Mus musculus: one gene and its partners. The protein of the gene in region 4 interacts with the protein of the main gene of each other region in a pairwise test. Links are inferred from orthologs where the notes say so. Each region holds a gene or a part of one and is shown on either strand. Other genes may lie near its edges. The genes, in order: Bcl2, Klc1, Frk and Bnip2.

What was found.
Region 1: the proteins of Bnip2 (region 4) and Bcl2 interact in a two-hybrid assay, tested with the Homo sapiens proteins (3 studies listed by BioGRID and IntAct). The link is inferred for Mus musculus from reciprocal best matches to the Homo sapiens genes BNIP2 and BCL2.
Region 2: the proteins of Bnip2 (region 4) and Klc1 interact in binary tests that used the Homo sapiens proteins (3 or more experiments, as listed by UniProt). The two-hybrid records come from large-scale screens. The link is inferred for Mus musculus from reciprocal best matches to the Homo sapiens genes BNIP2 and KLC1.
Region 3: the proteins of Bnip2 (region 4) and Frk interact in binary tests that used the Homo sapiens proteins (3 or more experiments, as listed by UniProt). The two-hybrid records come from large-scale screens. The link is inferred for Mus musculus from reciprocal best matches to the Homo sapiens genes BNIP2 and FRK.

The regions. Positions count from the first base shown.
Region 1 is NC_000067.6:106,711,004-106,716,513, reverse strand, and holds the start of Bcl2 (apoptosis regulator Bcl-2), read left to right. Parts: upstream 1-2,223; 5' UTR 2,224-3,633; coding exon 3,634-4,209; coding exon of another isoform or gene 4,210-4,233; exon of another isoform or gene 4,234-4,349; intron 4,350-5,510. UniProt on the Homo sapiens protein: Suppresses apoptosis in a variety of cell systems including factor-dependent lymphohematopoietic and neural cells. Regulates cell death by controlling the mitochondrial membrane permeability. Appears to function in a feedback loop system with caspases.
Region 2 is NC_000078.6:111,756,809-111,762,078, forward strand, and holds the start of Klc1 (kinesin light chain 1), read left to right. Parts: upstream 1-2,040; 5' UTR 2,041-2,234; intron 2,235-5,270. UniProt on the Homo sapiens protein: Kinesin is a microtubule-associated force-producing protein that may play a role in organelle transport. The light chain may function in coupling of cargo to the heavy chain or in the modulation of its ATPase activity.
Region 3 is NC_000076.6:34,605,105-34,609,492, forward strand, and holds part of Frk (tyrosine-protein kinase FRK), read left to right. Parts: intron 1-590; coding exon 591-772; intron 773-2,701; coding exon 2,702-2,867; intron 2,868-3,255; coding exon 3,256-3,467; 3' UTR 3,468-4,388. UniProt on the Homo sapiens protein: Non-receptor tyrosine-protein kinase that negatively regulates cell proliferation.
Region 4 is NC_000075.6:69,987,680-69,993,003, forward strand, and holds the start of Bnip2 (BCL2/adenovirus E1B 19 kDa protein-interacting protein 2), read left to right. Parts: upstream 1-1,786; 5' UTR 1,787-2,010; intron 2,011-5,324.

The DNA of each region.
Region 1 (5,510 bases), on a different chromosome or scaffold from region 4:
TTACATTTATCCTTTGTTACACAGCAAATTGAAGGCCACCCTGGGCTACATGAGACCCTGCCTCAAATAAATAAAGGTGGAAGGGGAGAATGGCTCCACGGTGCTGTCCAATGACAATCCATGCCATGGCATGTACTCCACCAACCCACACCATGTACACACAAAATACACCCTTTTAAACTTGGAATGAGGTAAAGATAGTGACTGAATGTGCTGTTCCCACAGTAATCCAGCAAGCCTGTGGGACTTGTCCACCCTGCACATGTGCTCTGTTCTTAAGCCCGATGTGGCAACCTGCTAGCCTGTGAACGAACAGCTTACTTATTTACTTATTAATTTAATGTATGTGAGTACACTGTCACTGTCTTCAGACACACCAGAAGAGGGCATCAGATCCCATTACAGATGGCTGTGAGCCACTATGTGGTTGCTGACACTTGAACTCAGGACCTTCGGAAGAACAGTCGGTGTTCTTAACCGCTGAGCCATCTCACCAACCACGAGTTTTCATTAGTATTTTAATTTGTAATTAATATCCTGGAGACTGTTGGGAGTTGCCACTCTTCACCCAAGGGTAGCATATTGGTACTACTCACTACTTAGGAGTCAATATATGTCTCAGTAATCTCTCTGGCTGCTGAGAGCTGATAACATAGTTATCACATAGCACAGTTTTTCTTGGTGTTTTATGTATCTATCTCTCAGCTTGATTGTTTCTGTCTGGGTTCATACAAGTGACAGTGGCACTGTGTGTCTGTGGGTACATAGACACATTATCTGTATGGCTGCATCTTCTGAAGCCGTCTCAGGTTGCATGCTGGTCAGAGCTGAGGATATCCAAAACCGTACCTATGCCGTGTTAGGGTCATGGCCTTGAAAGGTGGCAGGTATCACTCCCTGAGGTCCAGCCCCAGCCCAGTGCTGGGAGCGTTAGGAGCAGAGGAAAAACTGTCCCTGAAACTCAAACTTCTGCTGTTCTCTTCTCCTCTCTTCACTGGCCCACTGCGAGTTAGGTCTGGCCTTGGTCACCAAGTTGGGTATGCCTGGATAGAGGCTAAAAGCGCCTGGGTGCTCATGTGGTATCTGCTTGGACACCTCCAAAGTAACTCCGCATACCACTTTGACTATTCTTTAACAAGCCAAGAGCATCAGCGACTGCCATCAGTCTGCCACTGTCTGACTAAGAAGAGATGAGGAAAGACCAGCCTCTGAGGCACATCCCTTGCTGGTTGTGGACATCACATCATGCTCTTCAGAGCAGAGGAGTACTCAGACCTGTTCTAAGTTACACAGCTTGTGGTGTCTGGACAAAAGGGCCTAGAAACAAGCATGCTAACGTTGTTATTCTAAGTATTTTCATTTGTAATTAATATCCTGGAGACTGTGTTGGGAGTTGCCTCTCTTCACCCAAGGGTAGCATATTGGTACTACTCACTACTTAGGAGTCAATATATGTCTCGGTAATCTCTCTGGCTGCTGAGAGCTGATAACATAGTGTTTGGGGGTTCACATGGTTAGCTGAGGGTCTGTTTGATTTTATACACTATATGTGGTTGTATACACTACACTGTTTAAAGGGTCCACATGATTGTAGATACACTGCACTACACACACACACACACACAGAGCGACTGTGTACACACTTTATGTGTGGTTAGAAAGGGTCCATTGGATTGTGCACATTCCATGCACGCGGTTAGAAAGGGTCCATGTGACCTGCACATGCTACATAGAAAAAGTCCATGCGGTCGTGCACACTGTACACGTTGAAAAAGATCCATGCAATTGTGCCCATCCTGTTAGAAAAGATCCAGGTGCCTCGCCACAGCCTGGCCCTGGCTATAGGCACGTCCAGCCAGCAGCCAGCCCCGCAGGCCCGAGGAGGCCCCTCACACGCCCACTGAGCCACTGCCGCCCGGGAGGCCCGCGCCACCCACGGTCCGGGGCCCAGCGTAGCCCGCGGGTGGCCGCCACCCAGGCCAGCGGCCGCGGCCGGGCGCGCGCTCCCCGGGGCGGCCGCGGCGCCTTTAACCCGGGCGGCTGGCGGGCGGCGGGAGGAGGCGGCGGGCGGGCGCTCAGAGGAGGGCTTTCTTTCTTCTTTTTTTTGAATGAACGGTGACGTACGTACAGGAAACCAGGCGCTCCGGCGGAGAATGAAGTAAGAGGCCGGGCCCCCCGCCCCGCGCCCGCCCCCTTCCTCCCCGGCCCGTCCTCCCGCCCCGCGTCCGGGTCCCCGCCGAGCCGCCGCCGCCAACACCGAGGTGCCCAGGCCCTCCCCAGCCGCAGCCGTCACCGTGGAACGGGCTGCGCGGCGCAAGCACGAGGAGGCGGCCGCCAGCGCCGCCCGCAGCGGAGGAGGAGAAAGGGTGCGCAGCCCGGAGGCGGGGTGCGCCGGTGGGGTGCAGCGGAAGAGGGGACCAGGGGGGGACTTCGTAGCAGTCATCCTTTTTAGGAAAAAGAGGGGGGGCAAACCCTCCCCCACCACCTCCTTCTCCCGCAGCGCACCACACACAGTGCGCGGGCTGCTCCTTGGGCACCCGCGGCCCCAGCGCGTCCGTGCCTGCATTTAGCAAGCTGCTTTTTTTCCCGTTTCGGAAAGCGCGTTGGCCCTTCGGAGTTTAATCAGAAGAGGATTCCGGTCCCGGTCCCCCAGCTCCTCCATCGTCCCCTTGGCGTGTCTCTCTGCCCTGGAGGTCTGAAGCGGTCCGGTGGATACGGATCCATGCCTGCGCTCCAGCGTGTGTGTGCAAGTGTAAATTGCCGAGAAGAAGGGAGAATCACAGGACTTCTGCAAATGCTGGACTGAAAAATTGTAATTCATCTGCCGCCGCCGCCGCTGCCTTTTTGCCCCGCTGCGGTGCTCTTGAGATCTCTGGTTGGGATTCCTACGGATTGACATTCTCAGTGAAGCCGGAGTGTGAGGACCCAATCTGGAAACCCTCCTGATTTTTCCTCCACCTAGCCCCCAGACCCCAACTCCCGATTCATTGCAAGTTGTAAAGAAGCTTATACAAGGAGACTTCTGAAGATCGATGGTGTGGTTGCCTTATGTATTTGTTTGGGTTTTACCAAAAAAGGGTAAACTTGACAGAAGATCATGCCGTCCTTAGAAAATACAGTAAGTTCTTTGCACAGGAATTTTGTTTAATATAACTTTCCATGGACGCGTTTGAAATATTTTTTTACTTCAAGTGCATTCAAGCAAATTTCATTTCCAGACAGTTTAATGCATTTTTAAACGTGTAACTTGTAGCGGATATACCTTTCTTACCCTAAATATATAAAGGAAAACACACCTGATTTTAACTTCCTAGGTCGTCCCGCCTCTTCACCTTTCAGCATTGCGGAGGAAGTAGACTGATATTAACAAAGCTTAATAAATAATGTACCTCATGAAATAAAAAGCAGAAAGGAATTTGAATAAAAATTTCCTGCATCTCATGCCAACGGGGAAACACCAGAATCAAGTGTTCGGTGTAACTAAAGACACCCCTTCATCCAAGAATGCAAAGCACATCCAATAAAAGAGCTGGATTATAACTATTCTTTTTTTTTTTTTTTTCTTTCGGGGCCGTGGGGCGGGAGTCGGGACTTGAAGTGCCATTGGTACCTGCAGCTTCTTTTCGGGGAAGGATGGCGCAAGCCGGGAGAACAGGGTATGATAACCGGGAGATCGTGATGAAGTACATACATTATAAGCTGTCACAGAGGGGCTACGAGTGGGATGCTGGAGATGCGGACGCGGCGCCCCTGGGGGCTGCCCCCACCCCTGGCATCTTCTCCTTCCAGCCTGAGAGCAACCCAATGCCCGCTGTGCACCGGGACATGGCTGCCAGGACGTCTCCTCTCAGGCCCCTCGTTGCCACCGCTGGGCCTGCGCTCAGCCCTGTGCCACCTGTGGTCCATCTGACCCTCCGCCGGGCTGGGGATGACTTCTCTCGTCGCTACCGTCGTGACTTCGCAGAGATGTCCAGTCAGCTGCACCTGACGCCCTTCACCGCGAGGGGACGCTTTGCCACGGTGGTGGAGGAACTCTTCAGGGATGGGGTGAACTGGGGGAGGATTGTGGCCTTCTTTGAGTTCGGTGGGGTCATGTGTGTGGAGAGCGTCAACAGGGAGATGTCACCCCTGGTGGACAACATCGCCCTGTGGATGACTGAGTACCTGAACCGGCATCTGCACACCTGGATCCAGGATAACGGAGGCTGGGTAGGTGCATGTCTGGTTGAATGAGTCTGGGCTTTGATCTCAAGGCCAAGATGCGCAGGTTGGGGTGTGAGTGGATTCTGGGTCAAAATGGGCCATTGAGCAGATGAAATAAAGTCGAGTTTGTAGCTTTGCTCCCCTGACCTCTCACTCTCTTCCTCTGGGTACATCACACCCTGCCAACACTGTGTTAACTCCTGCCCGCTGGCTGTGAGGGAGCAAGAATCCAGCATTTTTGATCCAGTAGGATCTGGAGATAATAGCATCCCTCCAGTAACTCTCAGAGTTAGTTCGTCTGAGTAGCTTGCTGCAGATGTTCTGGGTCCTGTGTAAGCACCAGACCTCCAACACTCCCTCTTGACCTATGCATCTTTAGCTCCTCTGGTGGACTAACAAACTTTAAAAGGTCCATCTAGACATGCAGGCTCCACCAGAGGACGCAGGCAAACCTTTTCTAACTCACTTGGGAACATTTTCCCAAAGAAAAACAACACGGCTCCTTTTCCTGGAAATCATAGCTAAGCTTGTAAAAAAAAAAAAAAAAAAAAAAAAAAAAAGGTAAGCTTAGGTAGGTATTCGTGGATGTTTGTGGAATCCAGTCTGTCTATGCCATAGTCCCCAGTGGGCATGGTGGGTGTGCACCCTAAACATGTCCGTCAACGAATATGCGATGATTTAGAAGTCTGCATCCACTGTATGTCTTACTTTTCTCTACCTGCATTCTACATAGTTTTGCGATCTCTACTGCTGAATGGACTTGCATCTAGGGTGCCTATGAAAGGGGTAATGGAGTCCACTTAGCTGTGGCGTCTCCAGCCCTGACAAGTTAAAATGATTCGTATCCACAACACTGGTGAGCATCTATGGGGTGATAGTTTTCTGGGATCTTGGGAGGTTCAGCTTCCATATTTTACCGTGTGATTTAAGCTTTTCTCTGGTTCTTTAAGGGCAGAGAGCAGACTTAAGACTTGCTATAGCTAAAACAATTAAGTTATGTGAAAGCAATCATTATTGTCTGACATTTTTTAAAAGACCTTGTTTTAATGAAAAGGGTTTTCATTTTAGTCCTGCCTTGGTAGTATAAAGAGAACGAATATATATGTGAGTGTGTGTGTGTGTGTGTGTGTGTGTGTGTGTATATATATATATGTATATATATATATACACATATACATATACATATATATTATATCTTAACAGGAACAAAAAGTCTGTAACTGACTGAACGTGAACCAAATATCTAGAAGCACATTCTGTTTTTACTACAGTTTGCAAGATATGCTAATATTCATAGGCCCTGAAAA
Region 2 (5,270 bases), on a different chromosome or scaffold from region 4:
TACAGTGCTGGCTAGGTTCATGAAGGAGCCATTAAACCGGAGAGTTCAACCTCACCAGTCCAGTGACAGCGCCTTTCCTCCCCCCCCCAGCTGTCCATGGTCCTGAGAGGTGCCGTATTGAGGCGGTAGGTTAACTGAGGGTAGGATTCCAGCAATTCCACTTTGGTGAGCTGTCACCCGTGCTGGGTGGCCTTTGGGTGGTATAGCTGCTTGTATGCCATCTTTGCTTCTGTAAATAACCCTAATTTCAATGGCTCATCAAGCTGGACTGGGATGGACTTCTTTGCTCTGTTGATGTCCCATTTGGGGGGGGGGGTGAACAGATATTTATATATCTTTCAAAGATTCATATTCATGTATGTGCGGGTGTGCCCATGTATGCAGGTGTCACAGAGGCCAGAAGAGGTCCACAGGTACAGTGGAGCTGGAGTTAGAGGCTACTGTGGGCATTCACCCAATGTGCCTGCTGGAAACAGAACTCCAGTCCCCTGAAAGATCAGCAAGCATTCTTAACCGTTAGCCCCTGAAAGGATAGATGTCTCTTTATTTCTCCATGGGAAGTCACACAACAGTCTAGGCAGGGGGATGTTGAACTGGGTGTGGCAGAGAAAACTAAAGGACAGGTGAGGGCAGCTAGGGACAGGGTAAAGTGACCTTAGTACAACTAGGTCCTGTGGCCTTTGTAGACCAAGCTAAGGAGTTTTATGCTCATGCTGAGAGTGATGTATGTCTGCAGCAGGGTTGATTAGCTTGGTCTTTCCTCCTCCCCAACACAGCAGGGGTGCTCCTGTCTCAAGATTTAATGGAGTGTTCTACGCTGGTTCCGTGGTCCTGTTCTTTCCTGTGTGTGTCAGCACAATTTTCTGACCTTGGAGTTTGGGTCATGTGCCACTCCCTCACCACTCTGCCTGCAATTTTACTGTTTTCAACAAGTCAGATTCTGTTTGAGCTTGTTTTTTCTCATTGGAATGGGAGCTGGCCAGCAGACACCATCTGCCACTTTATGTACCTGGGTCTTCCTGTGAGAACCTTGGGAACTTAGTGGATATCAGTTGAAGGGGCAAAAGAACGAGATGATAAAGCTTGAACAAAGCAATGGCAGGGACAGATGAAACAAAAAAGCCCTTTGCTTGCTGAAGAAGTGTGTGCATATACAGGACTCGGAGGGGCAGTGATTGACCCATGGGAAAGAAATGGGCTCCCGCTTAGCCTACTCTTTTCTTTCCAACACCACCTGGGCAGGGGCCGTCATATGCTTTGTTCAGATGTATGGCAGTGGCTGAAGAGCCGGCGACACCCAACATCCAAGCAGCAGTTTGTGTGCTGGGGCAAGTGAAGCCTGCAGTAAAGACTGAACCCACAGCCTCTCCTTAGGCCAACATGGGCTGCTGCGCTCCCCACGGGAGCTGCCCCTTTATTGGCCAGCCTTTGAATTTTCTAGGAGGTCAAAGTAACTGGATCTGCTTGTTAAGATCAAAAGCACCTGCCTCCCTGATGTTGGTAGGTATAAGTGCAGGGTGGAGGACCGCAGCAGGTTCTGGGCAATACCATCAGAAGAGGGAAGCGTTTCCCAAGGTGGGGAGGCTGTGGGCATTCGCAACCCCTCCCCGTTAGTAATACAACCGCGCCATTCTGGAAACGTCTAAAGGCACCTGGAGGGTTCCCAAGCCGGTGGCAGGCAAGCTCGGCCTTGCCACTGACTCAGCGTCCCCTCCAACCCGCTGCTGAGTCAGGCCTGCAGTTGGGGTGCCAGGCGGCTGTGCGAGGCTCAGGAGCAACCTGAGCTGGCAAGCCTGCCCTTTGGGCCAGGCTGGAGGTCGAGCGAGAGCTGCGGCCAGGAGCGAGCCGCAGAGGGTGGGTCCTGGCCGCCTGGCGATCTTCCCGTCCTCCACGGGTGGAGGCGCGGCGAGGGAAGCCTCCCGGTCTGAGGCCACCACACACAGATTAGAGAGGCTCCTGGAGAGCTCCGGGCTGCGGACCCCAGCCTCAGTTTCCCCTGAGCCCCGCCCGGCGGCGCGAGGGCGGGTGACGTCACGGCGCACAGCATTGTGGGGCGGGCGCGGCGCCGGCGACGCCATTTTCGGCGGCGGAGGGTGGCGCGAGGCTGCGGAGCGCGGGTCAGGGTGAGGATGCTGCGGGGCGGCTGCGGAGGCGCCGCTTGCTGCTGAGGCGGCTGGGCTCTGCGCGGCCTCGGCCTGTGACAGCGCGACGAGCGCGACTCTCCCGATCGGACGGTGAGTGCGCGGCCTGGTCCCCGCCCCGCCCCGGGCTCCGCGCGGCTGGTGCGCAGTGCTCCAGACGCGGCCGCGACCCCTTCCCGCCTGCATCCTCCGGGCTGAGGCTTCTGGACCTTTCCGTCCACCGCCGCATCTGCACCCGGCCCTTCCAGGCTGCGATTTTGCTCCTCCGCCCGAACCCAGTCCCCTCCCTGGCCTTTCCATCCCTGTCTGCACCCTGGGGTTCCCTCTCCTCTCCGCTCCGTCCGCGCCCCTCCGTGCTCCGGTCTCTTGTCACCTCTGCCTGCGCGCCAGTAGTCTGCGGTCCTTGTCCTCTCTCAGCCTGTGCACATCCAGCAGGGGTTTCTGTCCTTTCTCCGCCTGCGCCTTTCTAGGCTCGGGTCTCTTGTCACCTCTCTGCGCTCCTCCAATCTGCGGTCCTTGTCCCTGTCTACCTGCGCCCCTGCTTTGGGTCCCTTCCCTGTCACTGGCTGCGCCCCTCCTGGCTGGGGTCTTTGTCGTCATCTCTCTGCCTGTACATCCAGGCTGAGGCTCTTCTCCCTTCCCTTCCTGTTCTGGTTCGGGTCCTGTCCTATCTCTGCCTGTCCCTCTCTGAGTTGAGGTCCTTGTCCCTTCTTCGTCCGTGACCCTCTAGGTTTGGGGCTCAGCTCTCTCTGCCTGCACTCTAGACTTCTGTTCCTGCCCCTTCTCTTCCACTCCCCTCCTGTGTCCCTCAGGCTTCTGTCCCATCTGTGTTCAGGGCCCCGCCCTGACTCGGGCCTCGGGGCGGGGGCGGCCTTCCAATGGCAGCTGTGGGCTTAAGGGACCCAAAGCCTGTCTGCTGAGGTCCTGAAGAGGTGGTGGTGGTGGTAGTGTGTGTGTTGGGGGTCAGCCGACTGGCTTTGTCTCAGGCCTCCCCGCCCTTCTAGCCCCCACCTCTCCCCGGCACCGCCCTGGGTGGCGTGCTGTCATGCTGTGGTCCATGGCCAGTGGCCAGCCAGTCTCTTTCTTTCAGTGGCCGGGTGTGGAATCTCCCTGTGACCTGAATGTGCCCGGCCTGGAGTGCTTTTCCTTGTTACATGTGGAGCCCCCTTCCCGTAAAAAAAAATTAAGGTGTTAATAAAGTAATATTAATATGTGACCGAGTGGATGGCATTATAATGAAGTTTGCAGGCCGTTTCCAGCTGTGTTGTGTTGGAATTGCTACTACCTGCTACTGTTATGTTATTGGTGATCTGGTGTACTTGCAAAAATGATGTCTTTAAAAAGCATGAGAACAAGAAATTTATATACCATTTAAACTGCTATGTTTTTGATTCTTTGCATTACTTAAATTCCAAGGCTCTTTATACGGTATGACAAAGCCTTAGGTCAGAATTAGCCTGGAATGCTTTGTAATAGGACAGTGAAACCCCATTAGGAAACTCGATCAACCTTGAGTCTCCTAAGCATGCCATAGTTAGGGATCTTCTACATGGAGGCCTATAGGCCTCAGTTGTGGTAGGAAATTTGACTTACTGTTCTTTGCAGTAAGTATTTGTAAGAATGCAATGATTCTATTTAAAATTCCACAGTGTGCGGTATGTGGGAGGGCGGGCCCCTTCTAGATCATTAAAGAATGCAGCATGTTGCAAGTCCAGCCTGATGCTCTGGTGGAACCAAGAGGGGTGGGACCTGGTGGTGACCGCTCTGTAGCACCAGCATTGTGAGAGCGTGTGTGGTGAACACATAGCAGGAAGTGACAGTATATGCCTATAACCCGGACACACTTGGGAGCCACAACTGCATAGCAAAATCTCAAAACAAAAATCCAAAGCAAGAAAAGCATAGACTTGCATGGAATCTGGACAGGGATTTTTTTCCAAGTGCAGAGATTGAAGAGGTGAGGTCTACACAGCTTAGCTATTCTACAGCAAAGTCTCCAGGCTGAAGAGGGCACTCAGTGCTAGGGTAGTAGCCTACATTCAAAAGATCCTGCTTCCTCAGTGCAAGAACAAACAAACCAAACATTACCCACAACCTAAATGTTTACATTAAGAAAGATTAATCCGGGCTGGAGGGATGGCTCAGCGGTTAAGAGCACTGACAGTTCTTCCAGAGGTCATGAGTTCAAATCCTAGCAACCACATGGTGGCTCACAACCATCTGTAATAGGGTTCGATGCCCTCTTCTGGTTTGTCTGAAGACAGCCACAGTGTACTCATATACATAAAATAAGTAAATAATTCTTTTAAAAAAAGATGAATCCATTCTTGGGACTGGAGGGATGGCTTAGTTGTTAAGAGTAATTATTGTCCTTTTAGAGGGACCTGGGTTTGATTCTTAGCACCCAGAAACAGCTCATAATTGTCCCTAACTACAATTCCAGGTAATCTGAGACCCTCTTCTGACCTCTGTGGTGCCCATGAACACCATGCAGGTGTACATGTAAACACTAACTCTTAACAACCAAAAGAAAACATTTTTAAGCATTTTTTTCAGGTTGGGAAAAGTGAAAATCTCTAAAGATCCATAAACAATCCCTAGAAATGGTTGACTTAAAAGAACTAGAAAGAAAACCTGAAGTGACTTTTTTGAAGCCAGAAGTTCTTAATTGAGTGACTGTCAGAAAGCAGATTATGCAACAAGAAAGTGACTTGCATGCTGAGCAAGATAGTGTCAAGTTTTAGAGCACAGAGTGAAAATGTTGAAGGCTGGGCATGGTGGCACAGGCGATCTGGAGGGTAGGGCAGGATTGGGAGGCCAGCTTGTGCTACACAGAATCTCCCTCAAACGAAGTAAGAAACAAAAAGAATAAAGATGTTGGATTAGGACTGTGGAAGTGTGGGCTCGAGGGAGTGTTAAGTGCTGAGAATCCACTGTGCAACACTGTACTATTAGGGATCCTGGTATGGGTAGTTCCCAAAAGAACTCAGACCCCGTGTGAGTGGTGAGGAGGCTCTTGTTGCACAGTTCAGAGGCAAGTGCAGATTGGCTATGTGTGGTGCTGATGGGAGGCCTGTCCTAGTGAGGTGGGGAGGGGAGGATGGGAAATGCTCCTGTGGTGGTAGGCAG
Region 3 (4,388 bases), on a different chromosome or scaffold from region 4:
TATGATATTTCTCTGTCTCTCTCTGTCTCTGTCTGTCTGTCTGTCTATCTGTCGTCTCTGTCTCTGTGTATGTGTCTGTGTGTTTATGTGTGTGTAAGTTAGAGGTCAATATTGAGTGCTTTCCTCCATAACTGCTTGTTTATGATCTGAGCCAGAGTAACTGGGTCTGGAGCTCACTGATTGATGAGACTGACTAGCCAAGAAGCTCAGGGGTCTTCCTGTCTCTGCCACCACAGCCCTGGGATTACAAGCATGTACCACCATGAGAAGATTTTTTTTTTTTTTTTAATAACAGTACTGAGGGTCTAAAATTCAGGTTTTCATTCACTAAGCCATCTCCCTATTCTGGAAATGCTTTAAAGAAAGGCTGACGCCCCTAACTGCTAGTTTCCATGAAGAGGTGAATCGATGGTGTGTGATTCTGAAAACACAGAGACTAGCACAGGCTTTAGGATAATGGGATGCTTTTGTTATATTCTTTGTAGATTAGTGTCATCGCATATATGATTGATTTATCAGATGTCTCAGAATTGACTTTGCTAGTTCAGTATTTTCCAAAATAATCTCCCATTTTCTCTCCTTTTTTTCAGATGATGGTGGGTCAAAAATCCATTTGATTCAACAGGTAGACATGGCGGCACAGGTGGCTTCTGGAATGGCCTATCTTGAGTCGCAGAACTATATTCACAGAGATCTGGCTGCAAGAAATGTCCTTGTTGGTGAACATAATATCTACAAAGTAGCAGATTTTGGACTTGCAAGAGTTTTTAAGGTAGATTTAGTTTTGTTTTAATCAGTTCTTATAGTAGGTTAAACAGCAAAAAAGTTAATATAGCGATAAGTTCAAAATTAATTTTTAAAACTATTTTGCTGCTAGGTGTGGTACTAAAGACTTAGGATCCCAACACACAAGAGGGTGAGACAAGAGGATTTCAGGTTTGAGATCAGCTTGAACCTCAATGAGATCCTTGTCTCCAAATAATAATTGCAACAAGAGTAACAAAGCCACACACAAACAAGAAACAAATAAAACTTTCATGTTGTCTATCTATGGTCCATTGATAAAGACAAGTTGTATAAGATCATATAGACAGAGTGCTTTTCTATTTCTATGGAGAGGGGCAACCAAGGGAAAAATGGTGATCATGCAGATAAATAAATATGTGATTAAAATTGTAGTTGAGTTTGTGGCGTACTTGTCAGATGCTACCAGCACCACCCATCTGCTTTTTCACATTCCTTCTCCAGAAAGCAATAGACTGTATCTAACTTTGCTCACTTGACAATAGGCTAAGGCCATACTACAGTGATTCTCCAACAATCATCAGCTTTCTGTGTGCTTGTGTGATTGTGTGGACATGGCAGTGTTTTATATATGCATGTGCGTGTGTCCTTTTGTCTGTGTGAGTACATGTATAGGCCAGAAGTTGATATTGAAATGTCTTCTTCAATCTTTTCTACACCTTGATAAAATGGTTTTAATAATTCTTTGAGGATTTCATACAATGCATATTGATCATATTCAATCCCTCCCCCTAACTTCTCTCAGACATAGCTCCCACCTCTCTACCCACACAACTCCCTCTTCCCCCTCAACTGCACTTGTTAGAGGACAAATTTCTCACGGAACCTGTAGTCTTCATTTTGGCTAGATTGGCTGGTCAGCATGTCTCTAGGATCCACCTGTATCTTCATCCTCAGCCCTGTGTTGCACACGTGTACTGTATCACCTGGTTTTTACCTGGATGCTGGTGACCTGAACTCACGTGCTCATACTGCTTAGAAAGCACGGTGTCCACTGAGCCATCTCTCCAAAAATAAACCACTGGCTTTTCATTTACCTATACTCACCCTGTTTTGTAACATCAATCCAAAGAGACTAATAATTAGACCTCAGATGAGGTGTTTAAATCTGAACTTAAAGTGAGATTTCCATACCATTCACTAAAAGTATGAATGTAGAGCAAAACAGACACAGACTCTCTTTCCATATCACCTTTCCTATTTTTTTAGAAATTAATTAAAATTAAAAAGTCACTATGTTGATAAACTAATTTAAATTATTGAGATAGCACTTTTTTGGTATTATCAAGTGCTTTAGATGATAATCAATGCCAGCTTTTCTAAGAAAGGTTTTATTTATTTTTATTTCATGTATATGTGTTTTTTCCCTGCATTTATGTCTGAGCATTTATGTCACTGCAAAAGCCAGAAGGTACCAAATACTCTGGAGCTGAAGTTATAGATGGTTGTGTGCTACCATTTGGGTGTTGGGAACCAAACCTGTGTTCTTGTCAAGAGCAGTAAATCATCTTAATTACTGAACTGTCTCTCTAGCCTTAATATCAGTCCATAGCTCTTCATGACTAAGAGCAAATAAAACCAGACATCCTTTGTTTCTCCTCCTCTTTCATCTTCTTCTTCAGTTTGTAGAGGACTTACACAAGTACAAATGATCACAGATTCTCCTTCCTGCAATGGCATGATGCTCCTCAGGCTCTCAAGACACATCGTGCTAATGATCTTTCACTGATTTTTCTAGTCTTATATGTTTGGTTCAGAATATCTTATATTATAATGCAAATCAACCTAAGCCCATATTGAATATTTGCTTCTACATTTTCGCGTGACACAGGTTACAAATAAACAAGGGCAGCACAACAAATTACTAACTTGGCTTGAATCCTTGATGCATTAACAGGTAGATAATGAAGACATCTATGAATCTAAACACGAAATAAAGCTGCCAGTGAAGTGGACTGCACCCGAAGCCATTCGTACTAATAAATTCAGCATTAAGTCTGATGTGTGGTCTTTTGGAATCCTGCTCTATGAAATCATTACTTATGGCAAAATGCCTTACAGTGGTGAGTGATTAATTCAGAAGTGGGCCTTTCTGTTGCAGGTCACTTGCTTAGATGTGACTTTAACTGCTTTGCATAGATTTAGAGGGCAGAGTTATGAGGCTGACCATTCCATGTTCCTGGAGGAGCCTGATAGATAAAATTTGATGATGATAATTTGCATTAATGAAGTGGTTTATTACTTTCTTCTCCTTTACTCTTGAATTGCAGTCTTATAGACAAGACTTGCTGCTGGTTTTAGTTTAACGTTACAGCCTGGGAAATGGATGGTGGGTCTCATGATGGACTTCATCAAGGGAAAAAAATCCTTTATAACCCAGAGTTCAGTGTCAACTATAATTTGAAGACTCTGATTGTCCACTTTTTTTTTGTTCTATTCTGTATGTCTTAGGTATGACAGGTGCTCAAGTAATTCAAATGTTGAGTCAAAACTACAGACTTCCACAGCCATCTAACTGCCCACAGCAATTCTACAGCATCATGCTAGAGTGCTGGAATGTTGAGCCTAAGCAACGGCCAACATTTGAGACCCTGCATTGGAAACTTGAAGACTACTTTGAAACAGACTGTTCCTATTCAGATACAAATAACTTCATAAACTAAACATCAAGGAAAAGAAGAAATATAATGAAGATATGAAAACGTGGGGCTCATCAGTCCAGAAATACTATCTATTCAACCAACTGTGAAATCAGCTTATTTTGACATATTCAAGTGGTAGGATGAACTCAGCCATGCATTCCATATCAAAAAGATAATCTGTGTATTTTATTGACTAGGAAACACTGCAGGACAGTATAAGATAATGTGTCATTTTTCCTCACTGCCTGGTAAAATCAATCACACTAAATGAAGTTATTTTTTTTCCTTTTGAGAACTCCTCACATTTCTATTTATTGTTTGAATGCCCATCAAGAGAATCAACAGATGACAGTGTTTACTCAGTTACTGTTGTGGCATTTTCCTGTTTACTAATTAGACTGGTTATTCATTATTCCTCAAATTGCTGAATACCATCAGGCTGTTATTATGAAGGAATTTGATTGCTCTGCTGCACAGCAGGACCTGTGCTTTGAGATATTTTTTTTCCTCTCTTTTAAAATATCCTGTAACTACAATAATGGTAAAGCCATGTTAAATGACTTGATTGTACTTGAAGTAATTGCACATATTTTTCCTATGCATAAGAAAATGAAGCAGCTGTTGAGAAAAGGAATTAAAATCTTTCTCATTTTGTAGAAGGAAATGATGGAGTTTGCTCTATACCTCAGTATGTGTCATTGGAGAATCATCTGCATTAGTTTTAATCTCTTAATGTCAGGAATCAGGTTGCAAAGCCGATGAATTGTTATGTATGGGAATATAGGGGAACTACCACATTGCCTACCAGGTCTGAGAAATAGATATTAAAGTGGCTTAGAGAAGCTAACAGAGAGAGCTAGAGGATTGCTGCAGCTTTCTAAGTAATAATAAAAAGTTTCTTTGGCATGCAGGCCTATTTTAAATTGGCTTCAAAACAGGCCA
Region 4 (5,324 bases):
AAAGGAAAATGTTGCAGAGTATCTTACTCAGAACCAAACATTGAATCAAGTCATGTTCTGTTACTAAAATGAGGAAACTCAAGACCACAAAAACCTCACTCTCTGGCATGATTGCAAACGATTTTCTGCCACCGTGTGGGGAACTCTGCACACTGCAGAACTAAAATACAAATTGGAACTCCGGAAAAATCTGTAACTGGAGAGAAAATGCTTCCTGTGGCCAAGTGGTTTAACTAAAACTTTGTGGATCTGTTTGTCATGTTTCCCCCTCCAGCAATTAAGAAAATTGCTAGGGGAAATAATACTAACACAGATGATAGCAACATTCCAAGCGCCCATCTCAGATACATGTACTGTTCTGTCTCAAAAGCCCCATGAGGCGGGCATTATTTTTTTCTCCATTTTATAGGTAAGTCACAGAGCTCTTAACTCTCTGCCAACAGAGAACAAATCTAAACTGTATCTCTAAAGAACTGTGTTTTGGATCCATTTAAAATAGTTTTGACTTCACCATTCCTTTTAGGAGTAATAGGCTTGCCCAAATAGTTACCTACTAGCTCTCTGGACAGGTTGAGCACGTTCAACTTCTAAGAGGGATGACCTTGCCCTCCAAAATAACAGCCCCTTGAAGCTGCTTAAAAGGACAGCTCATAGACGGAAGCCATTCAAAAAAATTGTTAATGGCCCACACAGAAAAGTACAGAAGTTGAGATCTTTTGAGAATTTTTTATTGGTTATTTTATTTATTGACATTTCAAATGTTATCCCCTTCCCAGTTTCCTCTCCACAAACCTCTTATCCCCTCCTCCCCCTTTTTGAGGATTTTTTTTTTTTACGACAGCCAATTTTAGGACTGTTGACTGTGATAATAAAATATTTTACATTTACTGACTTCACTTTTATTTTCATTTTTTCTACGTCATCAAGATAGGACCCACAAATAACTGGGAAAAGCATGTTTTAAAGCAATAGTTCTAAACTTTCCTAAAGCTGGGACCCTTTAGTACAGTTCCTCATGTTGTGGAGACCCCCAACCACAAAATTACTCCGTTGCAACTTCAGAACAGTAATATTGCTACAGTCGTGAATCGTAATGAAATTTCCTATGATCTCGGGACCTTCGGAAGGTCCGGAGTTCAAATCCCAGCAACCACATGGTGGGAACGGAAAGTTCAGATAATAGAGTGCCTACCTAGCAGCAGTCAGGAAGCCCTAAGTTGTCTCTATCTCTACCACAATGTGGTAACAATCATGTAGATAATCTCAGCTCTCTGGAGACTGGGGCAGGAAAATTAGTTTTCAAGGTTATTTCAGATACACTGGAAGGAATTCAAGGCCAACTCGGAACACAGGAGAGGAGTCTGGGGAGGAGAGGGGTGGGGTACTTATTACTCTCTCAGAAGCATTACTGGAGAGAAAAACTATTCACGTCGGAAAATTCTATCAAAGTAGATTCTTCTAGGACCTGGCTATCGTACATAAGACATCGACTATTTTTCACCCCCTTTTCATTCACTCTGTAATATAGTTAATATAATGTCAAGTAAAGGAAAACAGAGAGAAACGAATAGCTCTTTCAAGACAGCGAGGTTAGGTCCCTACAGTAACGTTAAGTGCGTGAGCCTTAGAAAGCTGCGCCCTCCTCCTCCCTCGCCAGCAGCAAGCCAAAGCCTTAGCTGGCCCGGGACAGAAGGGCTCACGGCTGCGCATGCGCAGAGAGGAAGCCCGCCGAGGATTTTAGGAAAACGCCCCGCCCCCGCTTCCTCCCTCGGCCGCGCCCGGCGCCGGTCCGGAGGTGGTCACTTCCGCCGGGGCGTACGCACTGAATCCGGGTCAGCTGCAGCCGCCCGGACTGCAACTAAGATCGTCCGGGAAAAGCTGGGCCCCGTCTCCACAGCCGACCAAGGGCAGCGGGCTCTGCCCGGCGCCGCTTTCTGCGACCTGGCCGTCAGCCCCACGTCGCCGGCCTGGAGGGGCAAAGAGGACGAGGGGGCCGCGGCTTCCTCCGGGGTGAGCACGGCTTGGGTAGCGGGCCGGGCTACGGCACAGCCGGAGGGCTGCGGGAGGATCGGCCAGGCCAGGCGGGGGTGGCGGCCGTGGACTGGCGCGTTCGCGTTCCGGGTCCGAGCGCTGCCGGGCCCCGCCCTGCCTCGGACGCTGGTGCCAGGCTCTCGCCCCCTTCCTTTTTCCGTCTGTGGCCCGAAAGCCTGGAGCGGAACCTCCCGGTTCCTGGCTTCCCCTAGCCTCGTTTGTTCCGTGTTCCTAACCGGCGTCAGTCCAGAGCAGAACAAAGAAACTTGGGCGTGTAGTGCACCCCATAGCCTCGGGGGGATGGACGCAGACAGCATACACAGACAGCATCCTATAAGTCATCAGGGCTCTCTTGAACCTTCCTGAGTGTGATATCCTATTGTAGGGTGTGTACGTCAATGCCTGATCCTTGGCTGTTCTCAGACACTTAACCTCTTCATTTAAATACCGGCTAGGATGCTTTGGATTGCTGTATGCATGCGATGCCACTGGAGAATTCTTCCTAAGTCTGTTCACGTTCAAGCAGAAACTTATTTGGATCTATATTACGTTACTTCGAAACTTCCTTTGTCCTAGGAACTCTATGAGGACACAACTTTTGCAGTGTTTATCAAAGTATTTCTATAAAAGTGCCTTTCATCTGCAATTGCATCTTAGTATTGCTTTCTTTTGCGTCACTTTTAATTAGGATGTTTTCCCTTATACTTGAATTCCCATCTTCAATGAAATGCACGTTTTCTTATGATTTATTAGAATCCTTTAATTGTAGAGGGTTTTTTTTCTCAAAGGTTTTTTTTTTTTAATGTGTCTTGTCATGTGGTATAGGCGACTGCAGAGGGCATCGGAACCCCTGGAGCTGCTAGCATTATAGGCTGTTGTGGTGGGAACCGAAATAGGCTCCTGTGAAGAGCAGCAAGCATGCTTAACTACTGACCCACTCCTCTAGCCTTCACTTGTAGAAACTCTGTAATTCATGAGTGGGTGTTCCTTCAAAGTTAGAGTTGAAGTTATCTAGTTTAGTTACCCATACATGAAGTTACCAATGTTTGGTTGCCTCGCACATTATTTTTTTGGCTTGGTTCTTAATCAATCTCTATCTCTCAATGCCATTCTTAGGTCTTTTCTAACTTGCTGGACTAGGAAATGTGACATGTGCATAGCGTAGGGACTGAATTACCATAAACCAACATACTTACATCTTTAGGCATCGCAGGACCTTTCACCCTTAAGTATAACCACATTTGGTTTTACAGACAGGTTTGTTATAGATCTGGGGATCAGGACATAGGGTCTGTCTTTTGCCTCTTGTCTAAGCTAAATGGCTAATGACATTGCATTCGACCTCACTGTCTTAGTTTGGGGTTTACTGCTGTGAACAGACACCATGACCAAGGCAAGTCTTATAAAAAAACAACATTTTAATTGGGGCTGGCTTACAGGTCCAGAGGTTCAGTACATTATCATCAAGGTGGGAGCATGACAGTATCCAGGCAGACATGGCACAGGCAGAACTGAGAGTTCTACATCTTCATTCCAAAGGCTGCTAGTAGAAGACTTCCCAGGCAACTAGGGTGAGGGTCTTAAGACCACACCCACAGTGACACACCTATTCCAACAAGGCCACACCTCCAAATGGTGCCACTCCCTGGTCCAAGAATATACAAACCACGACACTCACACCTGTTGGGCACTGACGCTCTAACTACTCATTAGTTTTTAATGGGTAGAGAAGTAAAGGTGAAATACTCTTTGGGGCAGTGGTCCTGATTGTTCTCTCTGTAGCGATGAGAGAAGGGGACATCTGAGAACAAAAGGCTATGTTTCTAGACCAAGAGTGGCTTCGGCTGGCAGTATTCAAGGTCTTATGCTAAGATTACATCCTACGAAGCAAGCAAGCAAGCAAGCAATATCACAGATAGTCCTGACTTGGCATTATAACCAGCTTCTAACAAGCAGACTGTTTGAGATCAGGTGTTAGAGTTTGGTCTACTTAAAGGTGCCAACACATCTCTAATACCTTCTGCATACTGATAGTTTAATAAATGTATTCTAGGTGTTTAGCCTATGCTATGTTTTTAACAGTTCTGAGAGAAGTTAGCACCATTCTAGTTTGCTGGTTGTGTGTGTGCACATGTGTGAACGTTGCTGTGGAAGCATTTTGTTCTTGAAAGCCCTACATGATCATACTAAGGGAGATAGCTCAGTCTGTAAGGGCACTTGTCTAGAAAGCCTGAACCCCTGAGTTTGACTCCCAGAGCCCACATAAGCCAGCTGTAATCCCTGCAGTCCTATGGCAAGATGGGAGGAGGGGACAAGAGAAACTTCTTGAAGTTCCTGGCCAGCTAAACTGGGAGCATGAAGCAATCGAAGAAAGTAGAAGAGAGATCCTGCCTCGGAATAAAGTGGACAGAGAGAACCACGCCGGAAAATTGTAATTTGACTTCCACTCTCCTGCCAAAGCACACACCACTAACCTGCCCACCCTCTGTGTGCGCATGCGCATGTGTGCTTTAAGAAGATAGACTCTTACAGGGGTATAGTCATACCTTTGACAATGACAAGCAAGAATGAAGGCTTTGTCCAGGGGTTCCCGTGTGCTTAGTCTTCAGGGGCGTATAGCCTGCTCATAATACATAAAAGTAAATCAAGCAGAACCTCTTGTGCAAGTGCAGACTTTCTGCCTCTGTTTGCTTTCAGCGAGCACAGAAGTTACTTGCACCTATTCCAGCAGCAGTGTTTAAAGTACATGACAGTACAGTTACCATGGAAGCATGTCACAGCCGACATAGGTCAAAATACTTAATTCTGTTCACCTTCCTAAATTGCTCGTGGCTTCCCTTCTTTAGTGTGGTTGGATTCACACCTCCCCTCAGAAGTTGTGTAGGGAGGAATCCATCGTGTTTGGTTTGATTTTTTTTTTTTAACCTGACTAGGATCAGAGGCTGTTGATTGCATTATGACTGCCACATATAACTGCCATGAAGAGATGCTAACAAGATACCCAGCTATCAGATTATTTCTGTGGAAGTATGTTATTCTGTCAAGTAGTGTATTAAAGTACTGTGTCTGTATTCTAACATTTTAAAGTTCTAAAAGCAAAACTGGGAAGGCGGTGGACTTGGGAGTCAGAGGCATCCAGATTCCCTCCAGAGCAGTGCTGCATATTTCAGCGCCTTTCTCACTGTTTCCTGTTCCTACGGCTGCTTGGTGATAAAGTGCTTCCAAGAACAAAACTCAATTGTTGACTTTGTTTTTATCTACCTAGTCTGCTACCCCCATTTCTTGGTGAAATG